Linked DNA regions of Saccharomyces cerevisiae S288C. Changing the gene in region 4 together with the main gene of any one other region gives a genetic interaction. Each region holds a gene or a part of one and is shown on either strand. Other genes may lie near its edges.

Evidence for each region.
Region 1: mutations in ECM33 (region 4) and DFG5 together harm fitness more than expected from each alone (negative genetic interaction), as found in Saccharomyces cerevisiae (2 studies listed by BioGRID).
Region 2: mutations in ECM33 (region 4) and GPT2 together harm fitness more than expected from each alone (negative genetic interaction), as found in Saccharomyces cerevisiae (2 studies listed by BioGRID).
Region 3: mutations in ECM33 (region 4) and ERS1 together harm fitness more than expected from each alone (negative genetic interaction), as found in Saccharomyces cerevisiae (2 studies listed by BioGRID).

Annotation. Positions count from the first base shown.
Region 1 is NC_001145.3:744,399-748,290, reverse strand, and holds DFG5 (putative mannan endo-1,6-alpha-mannosidase), read right to left. Parts: upstream 1,939-3,892; coding exon 562-1,938; downstream 1-561. Other genes in the region: RNT1 (ribonuclease III), read left to right, coding at 1-29; BCH1 (exomer complex subunit), read right to left, coding at 2,368-3,892. UniProt on the Saccharomyces cerevisiae protein: Required for normal synthesis of the cell wall.
Region 2 is NC_001143.9:566,214-570,649, reverse strand, and holds GPT2 (bifunctional glycerol-3-phosphate/glycerone-phosphate O-acyltransferase GPT2), read right to left. Parts: upstream 2,733-4,436; coding exon 501-2,732; downstream 1-500. Other genes in the region: TRAPP complex core subunit BET3, read left to right, coding at 1-322; CCP1 (cytochrome-c peroxidase), read left to right, coding at 3,452-4,436. UniProt on the Saccharomyces cerevisiae protein: Dual substrate-specific glycerol-3-phosphate/dihydroxyacetone phosphate sn-1 acyltransferase, catalyzing the first and committed reaction in the de novo synthesis of glycerophospholipids and triacylglycerols (TAGs).
Region 3 is NC_001135.5:247,530-250,770, reverse strand, and holds ERS1 (cystinosin-like protein ERS1), read left to right. Parts: upstream 1-1,955; coding exon 1,956-2,738; downstream 2,739-3,241. Other genes in the region: deadenylation-dependent mRNA-decapping factor PAT1, read left to right, coding at 1-533; FUB1 (Fub1p), read left to right, coding at 726-1,478; EGO2 (Ego2p), read right to left, coding at 1,569-1,796; SOL2 (Sol2p), read right to left, coding at 2,861-3,241. UniProt on the Saccharomyces cerevisiae protein: Cystine/H(+) symporter that mediates export of cystine, the oxidized dimer of cysteine, from vacuoles/endodomes.
Region 4 is NC_001134.8:391,547-395,250, reverse strand, and holds ECM33 (Ecm33p), read right to left. Parts: upstream 2,129-3,704; coding exon 2,071-2,128; intron 1,741-2,070; coding exon 509-1,740; downstream 1-508. Other genes in the region: SLM4 (Slm4p), read left to right, coding at 2,958-3,446. UniProt on the Saccharomyces cerevisiae protein: Required for proper cell wall integrity and for the correct assembly of the mannoprotein outer layer of the cell wall. Important for apical bud growth.

The DNA.
Region 1 (3,892 bases), on a different chromosome or scaffold from region 4:
AGAAAAGAAAATTCTCAGATACAAGCTGAAACGTTCCTTTTACACAACCATGATGGAACTTGCATTGATTTTCTTTAGCCATATAATTATCGCATATATGTCATTCATAAAACGTTTATAAAACATTAGAATATTTGATATATTTGAATATTTGATAAAAAATTTGATAATTTTTGGGATTCCATTGTTGGTCAAAGCTATAAAATTATGTATGTACTAGAAGTTCTCCTCGAGGGTATAGAAATCCTTAAAATGGAATCGGTATCTTACCATAAATGTTCCACTAGAATGTCATCAGATGAAAAAGACGAAAGAAACATATGACTAGCTCGCGTGGCGTAATGGCAACGCGTCTGACTTCTAATCAGAAGATTATGGGTTCGACCCCCATCGTGAGTGTTTTTTAGTATTTTTTTTAAAAACAATTGTTCCTCTCTAAATTTTAATCAGTTTTTGATCATGAAGGGTTTTGTATGTAGCACATAAACATTTTTACTGAAAGAAAAGGATAGCCTAAATATTAGAATACAATAAAATTTTTTTGAGCCTAGTTTGACACATTTAAAACAGCATCCACACAGCCCCACCAGTTAGCACACTCAGTATGACTGCTGTGATGATAGCGGCACCAGCGCGATCACCTTTCTTAATGTTTAAATTGTTTTGTAGCACGTTAGTGGTCGATGAGTTCATACCGGCATTCGCGTCACCTTTTGACGTACCGCCATTATCTTCCTTATATGGAGCTGGCCTGTCATGAATTAAAAGATTTTGAATAACTTCTAGAGCACTCATTTGCTCACCTAATCCATAGTAGCCATCATTGGTTTGTTTCTGCCAATTTAAACCACATGTATGCCCATCTGTACCACCATTACATGATTTTGCAGCGGCCTCAGCACTTGTTTTTATCAAATCATCAATTGTGTCCCTAGTAAAGGGAGCCATGACACTTGTAAGACCAAGCATACGAGAAAAAATACTTTTGAATGTTCTTTGATCGGTGTTACAGGTGCCATAGTCTTGACAAGCGCTTTCGTACATAATACTATCTTTGAAGAAATAAGATTTAGCACCATTTAGAATTTTTGTCAAACTGGTCTCCCATTCACCTGTTCCATTTGTAGCATTATACATGTATGCAAGACCACCAAGCACGATACCGTGATTATAAGTCCATTCAATTTTTGTAATATCAGTGCAATTTGTATCAATTTCAGCACCATCAAAGACATTTGCAGTATCGTTAAGAACCACATACCCGACATCCACTAGCCAGTCGAAAACCTGTTCAGCAACCTCCAAATATGTAGTGTTACCAGTATATCTGCCCAACCTCGCCGCAATCTGGAACAAACATGCATTTGAAACTGTATTTTTATAATTATAACCACTATTCCAAGTGAAAATTTGCCATCTCAGACCACCGCCACAGTGCTCTGAATCCCATCTTGAGTACATGGTGTTGAAAACAGCTTGTACCATTGCCAACCAACCTGGCTTGCCGTCACCGGGGTCTGTAAAATTTCTCTCGACAGCACCCATAACAGTAATACCCCAAATACCTTGGTCATCATTCCCCTCAACCATCGTTTGGTTGGACGGGATATAATCGTAATTGGAACCAGTTTGCGCTAATAGTGCATCGTATAGTAATTCTTGATATGTATCATTCTCACAAAGAAACCAATTTTCCAACATGCCACCAAATGCTTCCCCTGCATGCCACCAATAGTATGGTGACTGAAACATCCCAACGGTACCACCGTATCTAGTACCCTCATAGTAATCCAGCATACCACCTTGAATTAACGCTGTCGCATCACAAATTGACGTTTTGCTAGTAGTATCCAAATCCATGGCATGAGTGGCTTTAAAAAATGACAGAAACGTAAAGCATATCGATAAGATCATCTTCGCACTAATATTGACGATCATATCTGCGTTCTGGATATGATTTCGTTCTAATTTGTTCGTCCTATATAACAACCAAAAATTAATAAAGGTGATTCAAAATGAGATAAAGGACAATGTACACAGTCAATTACTTAATTAGATATTTGAGTAAAGCTGATCTTTTGGAGAAATGGGCTTTTCATTAATTTACATTCTATTTTTGGGTTATACTCAGTTTCGCTTTACGCGGATTACATTGTTTTTTTTTCGGGCGTGGCTCAGATTGTGAAAAAGAAATTAAACAATTTAAGATTACGGTTATCGCATTAGAGGCAGAATAACTTGAAAATGGGAAATTCCCCAAGAAGGTGACCTATACATGACAATGCCAGGATATCATACATAAAATACATAACCCGTTTCTTGTTAATTGATTTCTTTCACCTTTTTATTGATTGTATTCATCTTTTTCTAATTATCGAAAGTGTCATTCGTGAAATTCTTCAGAAAATTTAGAATGTTATCGTCAATCAATTGGGCTACTGGGTCAGAAAATCTAGAGGCAATTTCATTATGTACTTTAGTAATGCCCATATCTTGTACTGCAACACTCAGAGCATCTATTAATATTATTGAGAACTCGATGTACCAACGATGATTCCAGCAACAAATCTTGACTACTAGATCGATGATTGAGCTGTCGATGTCATTGATACTTGACAATATTTGAGAAGAGGTTAACTCGGAGTTTGCTGAGACTGAATCCCTCCTAATACGCTTATGCTCGTCAATGTAAAACTGTAATAGATTCTTTGCGCATACTGGAGAAAATCTTTGGGAAAGCCCAATTTGGAAAGCCTTCGCAGCTTCTGGAAGATGTCCCAGTCTTTTCGCACAAAGGCCGAATAATTCCCATTCAACAGTTAATTTGTGATATTTACTGTTTTGAGCATCAAAATACAATTGCTCTGATTGCCAATCGGTGTAAGTTTTCAAATCTTCGTATAGTAACATGAAGAGATTATCCAACCATCTTTCGCATAGCCTCTTTGATCTCATTTTGGATATATCATTACCGCGAACTTCTGCTTCATCAATGGAAGAAGTGGAGCCTTGGTACTCGTCTTCCATAACGAAAATTTTTGATCTATATTTCAACAGCTGCTCCCATCCTGTTATTTGGACAATTTCTGTCAATAATTTATAGGCTAGTTGGAAAGTAGACTTTAAACTTGACGCAGAGAGATTGACTAGGTTTGGATCTGCGGACTTTTGCTCCAACTGGACATCCATGGGGTTCAATGACGAAATCTCCTCAATTGAGGCATCCAATGGTAATGGCAGATGAAGATTTTCATCTGAAGTAATAGGCGCAATTCTTCTAAGAACGTATTTTTCCTTAACCTGTGACATGGGGCAGGCGTTTAACGATAGCAAGGCATTTGACATATCGTTTAGTTTAATGTATATTCTAGTCAATAAATACCAAGTTTTAAATTCGTTTGGTGCACAGTTAACAGCCTCCATGGCTACTTCCTTAGCAAGCTTGTAATCTCTCTTGACATCCAGTAAGAATTCACTTTGAATACTTAATAATTCGGATTTGAAGATTAGCTGGATATGGCTAGTCTTTGAATCGTCGGCTAAGAACGAAGAGGGGGAATTTAGTTGCTCGTTGATCAGGTCAACTGCATCTATCTCTAAATCGCACGCAAAATAAACACGAATTAATATTATTACTGCTTCTGGATGAATTTCTATTAACTTCTTGAGCATTTTACGACATGCTTCCAAACTCTTAGTTAACCTAACTATTTCCACTAAAGTTTCCACTAAATAATTATTGGTTAACGAGGGATTTAAAACGTGAGTAGGTGCATCTAAATAAACACCTTTTTCATAGACCAAGGGGAACAGTTTAATAAAGTTATTGGCAACATCTTCCAACTCACCCGAGGTAAATGGATTGAAAATTAGTGTTTCTACCAAATTCTGG
Region 2 (4,436 bases), on a different chromosome or scaffold from region 4:
CGAAGTACTAAGTAAGTGTGCATTCAAAATATTTTTAAACATCACACCCAACATAACGAACTGGTCGCATAACAAGGATACTTTTTCATTGATTTTGGATGAAAACCCATTGGCTGACTTTGTGGAGTTACCCATGGACGCTATGAAATCGCTCTGGTATTCCAATATATTGTGTGGTGTTTTGAAAGGGTCACTTGAAATGGTGCAGCTGGATTGTGATGTCTGGTTTGTGTCGGATATCTTGAGAGGAGACTCTCAGACGGAGATCAAGGTTAAGTTAAATAGAATTTTAAAAGACGAAATACCGATCGGCGAAGATTAGTGGACATGTAAGCTTTTTTTTTTCGTGATTTTTGTTATTATTGGTGTCGTTATTTAGGTATACATTATTTTCCTACGTAGAAATGTTATCCTTAATGTTTTTGTTCAGTAGTTACTTTCATATTATATTATTTACAAACATTGTCAAATGCTTTTTTTTTTATTTTTCTATTTTTTGATCATTCTTTCTTTTCGTGTTCTCTTTTCTGTCTTACCAGCGAAGCAATCTTCGAAGATATATTTGTGTTGCGACTGTTTTCCTTATTTAGATCAGAACTTCGTGCGGTTTGTACTATGGCAGGATTTTTCTCATCAAATTCATCCTCATCCTCACTAGTTTCACCTTCACTTTTCCATTGACCTTGCTTTGCATCAGAAAAAATTGGAATATCGGTCAACGAGCCTCTTGAATTCACTCTTGATAGGGCGTTAGAAGCTAGCGAGCCAATAGAATGTATAGAAGAAGAGCGGCTTCTAGATTGTACACTCATACGACTTATAGAAGACTCTGCATCAGAAGAGACATCATAACCGTCTCTCTTAGAGAATATCTCAGTCGCTAATTTATCGTAATCAGGGAAAACCAAAGGTCCTAAATCGTTACAAACAGCAGTCAACTCTAGACTTAAATTCTTTCTTGTTGTTTGGATTTCTTCGATCTTCTTACCGGGGTAAACAATAGAAACAAAAAGTGGTCTTAAAGATTTGAAAAGGTCAACACCGATTTCACCGGTCTTTAAAGAGGAATACGTGGTGAAAACCAATAACGCATAAAAATAGACAAATTGTATGAATGCGTTATTGGAAGGAACCCAGATGCGACAATAGTGTTGTTTTCTTGCCAAAATAATCAACAAGATCGAGTAAGTAACGTATAAAATTGGTGCCAATATTAACGCCACGATAAGTTTCCATGTGGCCAACAAATCGGTACCCTTAATTTTAACCAATGATTTCTTTAAACCCTCTTTGGCCTTCTTTTCTGAGTATACGCGACAAATAATGAAAATTGGAGTGAAGAGAATAGAACCCGGTAACGATAGTATAGCAAAGACAGAAAATTTAATCAATCGAACGATCAAAGTTACAAAGCACCTCAATGCTTCTAATTTGGTAGTTTTTAATTGCATCACCTGATGGTCTTTTAAACCCACTGAATCTAATTTCCTGTTGTAGTCATATACCAGTTTTTTTAAGTGAATAATTCTTGGATCATCTTTAAACTTGGAATAACCGAAAAGTAACCTTCTGTTGATTTCTACAATGGCAGGCAAAGGTAGCCTGACTTTTACCGGTTGATATAGTCTTCTGGCAGCCTGAATGACCATCAAAGTATCGTAATCTGGAGCATTTTCGGTAACAGAAAACAAAGAATTGGTGATCTTTTTTAGTAGTTTGGAAACGGTCTCACGTGGGGAGTCCTTATACATTTCGCCATATTTCCCATCCACCACTATAGGTTCGCCGTATTCTAAAACAGCTCTAGATCTGAATTTATTTCTGTGGAAATAATGCAAACCACAGGGTACAACAGCAACTTTCATGGTAGGATCAGCGGCTACTGCGCCCAGAGCCATAATGGCAACACCTGCCTTGATGGGTAGTAACGAAGGACGGTCATGAGAACCACCCTCGGGGAAAATACCTACACAGCCCTTCGTATGCAAGTGATCAAAAACACTCTGGAAAGTTTCCGTATTGTCGATTTTCTCTGCATATTTAAAATTAGTACCATTAGTCAAGAGCTCCACCACTTTTGATTTCGATGTTCTGAATGGAGAGGACAAGATTATCGTTTCATCATCCGGGATTTCCTTGATTTGAGCATTACTTAAGTAGTCGGGCAATCCAAGCAAGGACTTGGCAGAAAACCTTTTCGTAAAGTTCACTGGTGTAGTCTGTGGGTTCTTGGAGCGGCCCTTGATGATTTCCGGGTGGTTCTTCAAGTCCGGAGCGTAAATCTCAAGATTCTCATCCACTGGCTTCAAGTTGTCCTGAATTCTAGGCACGGGAATACCGCCCATTGCGTGACCAAAGAAAGAGATAAATCTTTTCTTAAAACTCGACTCAGCAGTAACAAAACAAGGCATTCTGGATCGGGACTTTCCCGCTGATGTCTTCAGCAAACGGGTTTGCGACATTACCAAAGCCGGGTCGATGAACTGATTTGCATGAGGGGCACACACAAGGATGGTTGGCACCCCAACTTCGGGAACGTTATATGCACCACGTACCTTAATTTCTCTGAAGAAAATAGTGAACAAAATATTAAACAGAAATACAGACACATCATACAGCCATGTATGTATATTGTATACGAATCCATTGTATGAATTTTTGTACCGTCGGGACGCTTGAGGTACATGAGGAATAGGTTTGGCAGCGTTATGATCGGCAGCGGGAGCAGACATAAAGGAAAGGGAGCAATAACTGATCGATTAATCGGCTTTATTAGATGTGAAAGTAGAATTTTGCTCTAGCGACGAAGCACGAAAAGACACTATCTTATACTCAAGCTGCCACTTCTTCAGGGTCTCTCCTCTTTTCTCTCCCCTCTTTATTACTCCTCTCAACCTTACAATCAAAGTGAGCCATTTACTTCGAAAATGCGGAGCAACGGCGGGTTACTGGTGTTCCAGCAAGAGCTGTAATAATTCAATATAACTAGTAAGAATAGCCAAGAAAGCCAAAAGACGAGCTTGGATCGATGCGAAAATGTGGTCGCTCCACACCAATTACTAGTTATCATTTAGCGCTGCCGTGTGGCGACTACACTTCAGCGACCTATGTAGCTTACATAATGTCGGGATGATTTCTCCCGCAGCTAGATCTCGCCAATGGAAATTCCAAAGCCAAAGAATATCCTGCTTTGTCAGGAATTTCGTAAACCATGGTCAGGCCCAGATTTGTAGTTTTCTTTACCAACGACAGCGATGAGTTATTTGGTCCTGAGTACTGAGTAATATGACTCTCTTGGCATCCAGGGGCCGGCCCAAGCCGGCTGTTACCAATTTAGGAAAGGACCCTGGAGCGAAAAGTACTTAAGCAGAGACTATTGTACACGCTCGCTAACTCAAGAACATGAATTTCGCATTCATGCAGACGCAAACACACACGTATATCTACAATTATGACTACTGCTGTTAGGCTTTTACCTTCACTGGGCAGAACCGCCCATAAGAGGTCTCTCTACCTGTTCTCCGCTGCTGCTGCTGCTGCTGCTGCTGCAACTTTTGCTTACTCGCAATCCCAAAAGAGATCATCGTCTTCTCCCGGGGGTGGTAGTAACCACGGATGGAACAACTGGGGGAAGGCAGCTGCTTTGGCTTCCACTACACCGCTCGTTCATGTCGCCTCTGTCGAAAAAGGGAGGTCATACGAGGACTTCCAAAAGGTGTACAATGCGATTGCACTCAAGCTGAGGGAAGATGACGAATATGACAACTATATAGGCTATGGGCCCGTATTAGTCCGTCTTGCTTGGCACACTTCAGGGACCTGGGACAAGCACGACAATACAGGCGGGTCATACGGTGGTACATACAGATTCAAAAAGGAGTTTAACGATCCATCCAATGCGGGCTTGCAGAATGGCTTCAAGTTCCTGGAGCCCATTCACAAAGAGTTTCCCTGGATCTCCTCGGGTGATCTGTTCAGTCTAGGGGGTGTCACTGCCGTGCAGGAAATGCAGGGTCCCAAGATTCCATGGAGATGTGGTAGAGTCGACACGCCAGAGGATACTACCCCTGACAACGGGAGACTGCCTGACGCTGATAAAGACGCTGACTATGTCAGAACATTTTTTCAAAGACTTAATATGAATGACAGAGAAGTAGTTGCTCTTATGGGGGCTCACGCTCTGGGCAAGACCCACTTGAAGAACTCTGGATACGAAGGGCCATGGGGAGCCGCTAACAACGTCTTTACCAATGAGTTTTACTTGAACTTGCTGAATGAAGACTGGAAATTGGAAAAGAACGACGCGAACAACGAACAGTGGGACTCTAAGAGCGGCTACATGATGCTGCCCACTGATTATTCTTTGATTCAGGATCCCAAGTACTTAAGCATTGTGAAAGAATACGCTAATGACCAGGACAAGTTCTTCAAGGATT
Region 3 (3,241 bases), on a different chromosome or scaffold from region 4:
ACGTTTCGTTCTTGACCACCTCCAAAATTGGTCTAAATTTGATCACCATTTTGATTTCTCGTGCCGCATTAATCAAGCAAGATTCATCAAGATCTAATATTCTTTCCTCTCCTGAAATCTCCACATGGAATGAGATTTATGATAAATTATTCACTTCATTGGAAAGTAAGATTCAGCTGATTTTCCCTCCAAGGGAATATAACGACCACATCATGCGTTTACAAAATGACAAGTTTATGGATGAAGCATACATTTGGCAGTTCCTAGCTAGTTTAGCACTAAGTGGAAAGCTAAACCACCAGAGAATCATTATTGATGAAGTACGTGATGAAATCTTTGCCACTATTAACGAGGCGGAGACCTTACAAAAGAAAGAGAAAGAATTGAGTGTATTACCTCAGAGGTCTCAAGAATTAGACACAGAGTTAAAATCTATTATTTATAATAAAGAGAAACTATACCAAGATTTGAATTTGTTCCTAAACGTTATGGGGTTGGTGTATCGCGATGGTGAAATATCAGAACTAAAGTAAGATTTTTCCTGTAATTTTAATGTACTTACGCATGTATTTTTTTTTCTCCCTTATTTTTTATTTCCTACCCTTTGTAGATCATTTATTGTATATGTTTTTATATAAGTTTATATAAGTTTGTTATCCTTTTTTTTTCATAAAAAACCCGTATTAGCATCAATAATACCACCATAGTAACGCAAGAGTTAAACAATGATTGAGAATAAGGTTGAACTGGTAGCAGAACTAGTGTTGGAGTCCATCGGTAAAACTGAGGTGGTGTCACGCCATACAGAGGGAACCAAATCATGCCAAGTGAGTTTTCGCATTAAAGATTCTCCCAGTGAGAAGGGTTCAACATCGTTTCTCTCTGAGCTAGTGGTGATTCAGACTCTGGATGACAATGACAAGTATACTGTTGTTATTCGTCATGGTACGTCGATCACCATGGCATGTGTGGTGGGTTACAGCGATTTTAAATTGCCCACAGAATTGAAATGGCCACTAGAAAGAGAAAGCTTACCTGTGGAGCCAGACCTGAAACCTATAATGACACAACTTAAAAGACAAACTGCAGGTAGTGCGGACATGCCAAAATTTGACGATGAGTACCAGGCACAAGCAAGACAAAACCAGGGAACAGCACCGTTGAACCCATATCCCGGACTTACGGTAACTGAACCGAGCTTCGCTAACCCAGCAGGAGGGTATGCGGATGGTGATCTGTATCCTGTTGGCACAAGCCATCCGGATTGGTCTGGAGGGCTTCCCAATCCTCTGGGGAATCCAAGTAGCCAAGGCGGTATGATTTTCGATCCAAATAGAAGACCTGCCCCAAGACGGGAAGATATGCCGCCAGGATGGATGCCTGGATCCAAGTACGACGAACCATTTGGTCCTGGATCTGGCGGATTTGGAGGTTCAGGATCCGGCGGATTTGGAGGGTCAGGATCTGGCTTTATTTAAATGGGTGTTTATTTTAGTACTTTGTTTATTGTGATATTTAGTTTTTAGATAGTATACAGACATAGCTATGTCGAAAGGGAAGGAAAGAATTTATTGAGCGCTGGTATATACAGCTAAAGTGATATCATTGCGTTTGTACAGGTGTACGAGTAGCGAATCTCCTTGAACTTGAGCAAAACCTTCTGCATCCAGCGTAACTTTCGATAAATCACCGATATCTTCGATCCTTTGACTGCCCACGCCGGTAGACTCTATAACGTTACCGTGAGTATCGAAAGCAATGGTTCCCTTAATATCAGATTGTTTTTCCGCTTCCATCTTTGATTTGGTTTAGGTGATTTGGTTTGAGGTTGTGGTATTGCCCTTTAATAGCGGAATCCTTTATATTTTTTGATAATCTTGAAATTTTAAGGTGAGTTTCCATATGTAAACAAGGGAAGAAAAACTAAAAGCAAACAAAAGCAAACGCGAAGCAAAATGGTGTCGTTAGACGATATACTAGGTATCGTGTATGTTACGTCATGGTCGATATCGATGTATCCACCGATAATCACCAATTGGCGCCATAAGTCAGCGAGCGCGATATCGATGGATTTTGTCATGTTAAATACGGCAGGTTACTCTTACCTGGTCATATCCATATTTTTGCAATTGTACTGCTGGAAAATGACGGGTGATGAGTCTGACTTGGGCAGGCCCAAGTTGACGCAATTTGATTTCTGGTATTGCCTGCATGGGTGCTTGATGAATGTTGTCTTATTGACCCAGGTGGTAGCTGGAGCGAGAATCTGGCGATTTCCAGGTAAAGGTCACCGCAAGATGAATCCATGGTACCTAAGGATTTTACTCGCATCACTGGCCATTTTTTCACTGCTAACCGTACAATTTATGTACTCCAACTACTGGTACGATTGGCATAACTCAAGAACTCTGGCGTATTGCAACAATTTGTTTTTACTCAAAATATCGATGTCACTAATCAAGTACATCCCACAAGTGACGCATAACTCGACAAGAAAATCTATGGATTGTTTCCCCATTCAGGGTGTGTTTCTAGATGTCACTGGCGGTATCGCCTCGCTGCTCCAATTGATTTGGCAGTTGTCTAACGATCAAGGTTTCAGTCTGGATACGTTCGTGACAAATTTTGGAAAAGTGGGACTGTCAATGGTAACTTTAATATTCAACTTCATCTTTATCATGCAGTGGTTTGTATATCGATCTCGAGGCCATGATCTGGCGTCAGAGTACCCGCTGTAGCACACAAGGAGAAATCTGCATAATTACGCATATATATATATATATATATATACATAAATATACATAAATATATGTATGTATGTATGTATGTGTGTATGTATGTATGTACACACATGCATGGTTTAAATAGACAAACCTTGGTGGAATTTATACTTTTTTTTGGTGACGAGGACGTCCGTAAGAGCATCGTCGTCAACAAACCATGATACACGACCAGCAGCACCTTCGTTGACAATACTGCTAGGTAGGCCCTTTTCAGGCCTTTCCATAATGGTCTTGATGATGGGCGCCTTGGTTGCACCTTCGACAACGAAAGTAACCCTGTGAGAATGGCAGATTACAGGTATAGTCAGCGAAATTCTGGTCGAGGGCCCACTAGGAGCGTTCTCCACGGGCACCACCCATGCAAGTTTCTCACGTAGATTGTCCTGGAAGTTAGGGAAGAGTGATGCGATATGACCATCGGGGGCACAACCAAGCAGGAACAAGTCGAACATCGGAAG
Region 4 (3,704 bases):
GTAAAGATGGCAGTTATTTTAAAAACGAATTTCGAGAAATAGTTGGTATAAATAACTATAAATAACGTTTTACTGTTTTAAAAAAGCGATCCGTTAAAAGGCCCTAACGATTCTTTAGAAACTTGAAACGTTAGCGGAAGAGCACTTTGTTTTAAACCGTAGTAAGAATTTTTTTATATTTTATTTCATTTACTTATTTTTTTTTTTTCTTTACTCCTTTTTTTTATGTTACTTAGACAAATTTCATTATATTAGGTAAAGCTAAAGGATGGTAAAAAGTCTGAGTGGTTCTTTTAATTAAGGTAGCAAAAGTTGATGAAACTGGAACTTCAAAACAGTAATAATATAGTAACAATAAGAAATAAAAGAGATATTAACGACACTAAAATTTTATCTACATATAAAATTCAGTGATGAACCAACCGTCTCATAATAAAAAAGGAATGGTAAAGAAATCATTAGAGAAGAAATTAAAGTAATAATAGAAACACAAATTGTTGCTTTAATCTTATAGTAAGGCAACGCCAACAGCAGCAACGACACCCATGAATGAAGTGGCTGGAACAAGTTCTGGAGCAGCACCCTTAGACTTCTTAGAAGAAGAGGAAGAAGAGCTAGCGGAAGCTGAAACGTTAGCTTGAGCATTGGAGGCATCACCACTAGAAGAAGCGGAAGATGTAGCAGAGCTCTTGGATGATTCAGTAGAAGTAGAGGATAGCTTAACGGAGGTAGATGTGGCACCGTTCTTGCAAACAAAAGAGTCACCTTGAATAGCACCGTTACTTTGCAACTTCTTCAAAGCGTTACAGGAGAAGTTACTGGAAGAAGAGTCGAAGTTAGCACCACCTCTAACAGACTTCAAAGAAGATAAGTCCAAGGTTGAGAAGTTACCAGTAACTTCAATGGCACCACCAACAGTTTGAACCTTGTTAAAACCGTCAATGACCTTCAATTGTGTGTTGTTAGCAATGATGAAACCACCACCAACAGTAGTCAAGTTACTGAAAGCGGCCTTGGATAATTCATCGTTGGAGACGATAGACAAAGATTGACCAACCTTGCTCAATTGGGTCAAGTTCAAACTTGGCAAAGTGTTGTTAATGAAACCTAAGGAAGCGTTAACAGTTTGCAAACTACCGAAAGAAATAGAGTTAACATCTCTCAAAGTGATGTTGTTAGCCCAGACCAAATTGTCGAAGGCCAAAGTAGTGTTGTCACCGTTGGAAGAGAATTGTAAAGAGTCAGAGACACTTTCCAAGGAAGATTGGAAAGAGTTTAGATATCTGTTGTTGTTGATGTTAAAAACATTAACCTTCTTCAAAGTGGAGAAACCTTCGACACTTTCCAAAGTGGTGTCAGAAACAATAATGTTGTTAGCATTTTGTAAATCGGTGGAGAAGGTAGAAATGGCAGGCAAAGTCACCATGTTAATGGAGTCTACTTCTTGCAAAGAACCGAAAGAAGCACTGGTCAAAATGATCAATTCTTGCATGTTCAAATCACCGGTGATTTTCTTGATAGAGTCAGCGGAGAAAGAAGATAAAGAACTGGAGTTGAAGATAGTCAAGGAACCATCAATCTCTTGGATACTAGCCAAAGCAGCGGAACCCAAGTCACCGGTGATGGTCAAGTTACCAACAATGGTACTACAACCGGAGATTTTGTCCAAATCAGCTTGAGCAGTAGCAGTGGCAGAAGTACCAATACTACATGAAGATGGAATAGAAGTAGTTGAGTTAGCTGCTTAGATAAAGAAAAGTAGTGTTAGTATTCCCGATCGATTTATACATGTATTATTCTGTTTCATTACTCGCCCTAATCCTATGACAGGCAGAAATATTGAAGAATATTCCAAAACCATCCTCACGAGATCTCGAAACCCGTTTCCTCTTTTGGAAATTTTTTTTTTTCGCATTGTCCGTCCGCGTCAATCGAGACCTATGAAAAAAAGCCCAGTAATCGACAAAGAAAAAAGAAAAGAATGAAGAGGACCACGAATCTACTCGAGATTTGTGAGGAAAGAGGCAAATAAAGAAAAAAAGATGAAAAAAAAGGAGAATGTGTACATACCAGCTAGAGCGGAGGCACTTAGAATAGCAGTAGCAGTCAAAGCGTTCTTGAATTGCATTGCGGAATAATAGTAAAATTAAAACTAGATCTTTAAAAGTCAAATAAACGTATTCTTGATAGCTCAAAGGGACTTGTTGAAAGAAAAATGGAAAAGATTAAACTGTGTAGAAGCGAATGAACGATTAACTCTTTTATTTAATTTCTTTTCTAAAAGTGGCCGAAGTACTCAAAGATGATGTTCTAAAAAGAAGAGAAAGGGTGAAAAGCCAAGAAAGATAAAGAAGGAAAGAAAATGCAGAGGAAAGATCTTCACATATTAAATACAAAAATGCAAGAGAGGTCCGTTGATTGCGAAAAGTCGTAGGTGTTTGACATTGAATATTTATACCGGCTCAAGCACGCTACCGAAAATTTTTCAGTTCGATCTGAGGTTTGTACTTTTGATTTCGATCCCAGGAGGGATGGTTGTTTACTGCACGTTGCCTTTGTTTGTTGTGGTAACGCGGTTTCAGTCCTGTCTCTAGTGCCTGGCCACTGAGAATGAGCGCGTGGGCCAGAAACGGTGGCGCGTCTTTCCCGTTTTTGCACTCCATTTCATTTCTTTTTCGCGAGGGCGCAGCAGCCACCCGGGTCGTGAAGGATGATACTGCCCGCCATCCTTTTTTTTTTGCGGTTTACGGTAATTCGCAGATTTTACGTTGATAATGATATGAATGGTGCCCTCTGGGTAACAGGTGAATATGGAGAGAGAGACGAAGAAAAAGAAAAACAATTGCTTCATTTGGCATATAAGCTAAAAAGACTCTAATGAATTAATTAAGGGAAGATAAGAAGAAAAAAAAAAGGCAGTTATCAGCAGCAAACGGTATCCAAAATATTGAAGCAATATGGTGATGCTCCATTCTAAAAACGTTAAAGGGTTTCTGGAAAACACTTTGAAACCGTATGATTTGCATTCGGTAGACTTCAAGACATCGTCTTTGCAATCGTCTATGATTATAACCGCCACTAATGGGGGTATACTGTCCTATGCGACGTCAAACAACGATGTACCGAAAAATTCCATAAACGAAATAAACTCGGTCAATAACTTGAAAATGATGAGCTTATTGATTAAGGATAAGTGGTCAGAGGATGAAAACGATACTGAGGAACAGCACTCCAATAGCTGTTACCCTGTGGAAATCGACTCCTTTAAGACAAAAATATATACTTACGAAATGGAAGATTTACATACCTGTGTCGCACAGATACCCAATAGCGACCTTTTGCTATTGTTCATTGCGGAAGGTAGCTTCCCTTACGGACTACTGGTAATTAAAATTGAAAGAGCTATGAGAGAGTTGACTGATTTGTTTGGCTACAAGCTAGGTTGATGGGTTTAACAATATGTATCGAGGCCACACCTTTTCATGCGTCTCCGGATGGGGGCTGGAAAAAACAATGCGAACAGTCTATAAATAAACACATTTTCGCAGGGACAGAGTTTACGCAGACACGCCATTTACATAAGCTTGATTACGCGGATTGCCGTGGTGCACTTTCGTGCACTCGCACATATATATGCACGTACATAAGGGCCTCATCTTCCTCTCCTTTTTTTCCCCCATCTACCTATCGCTGTTATTGAACGG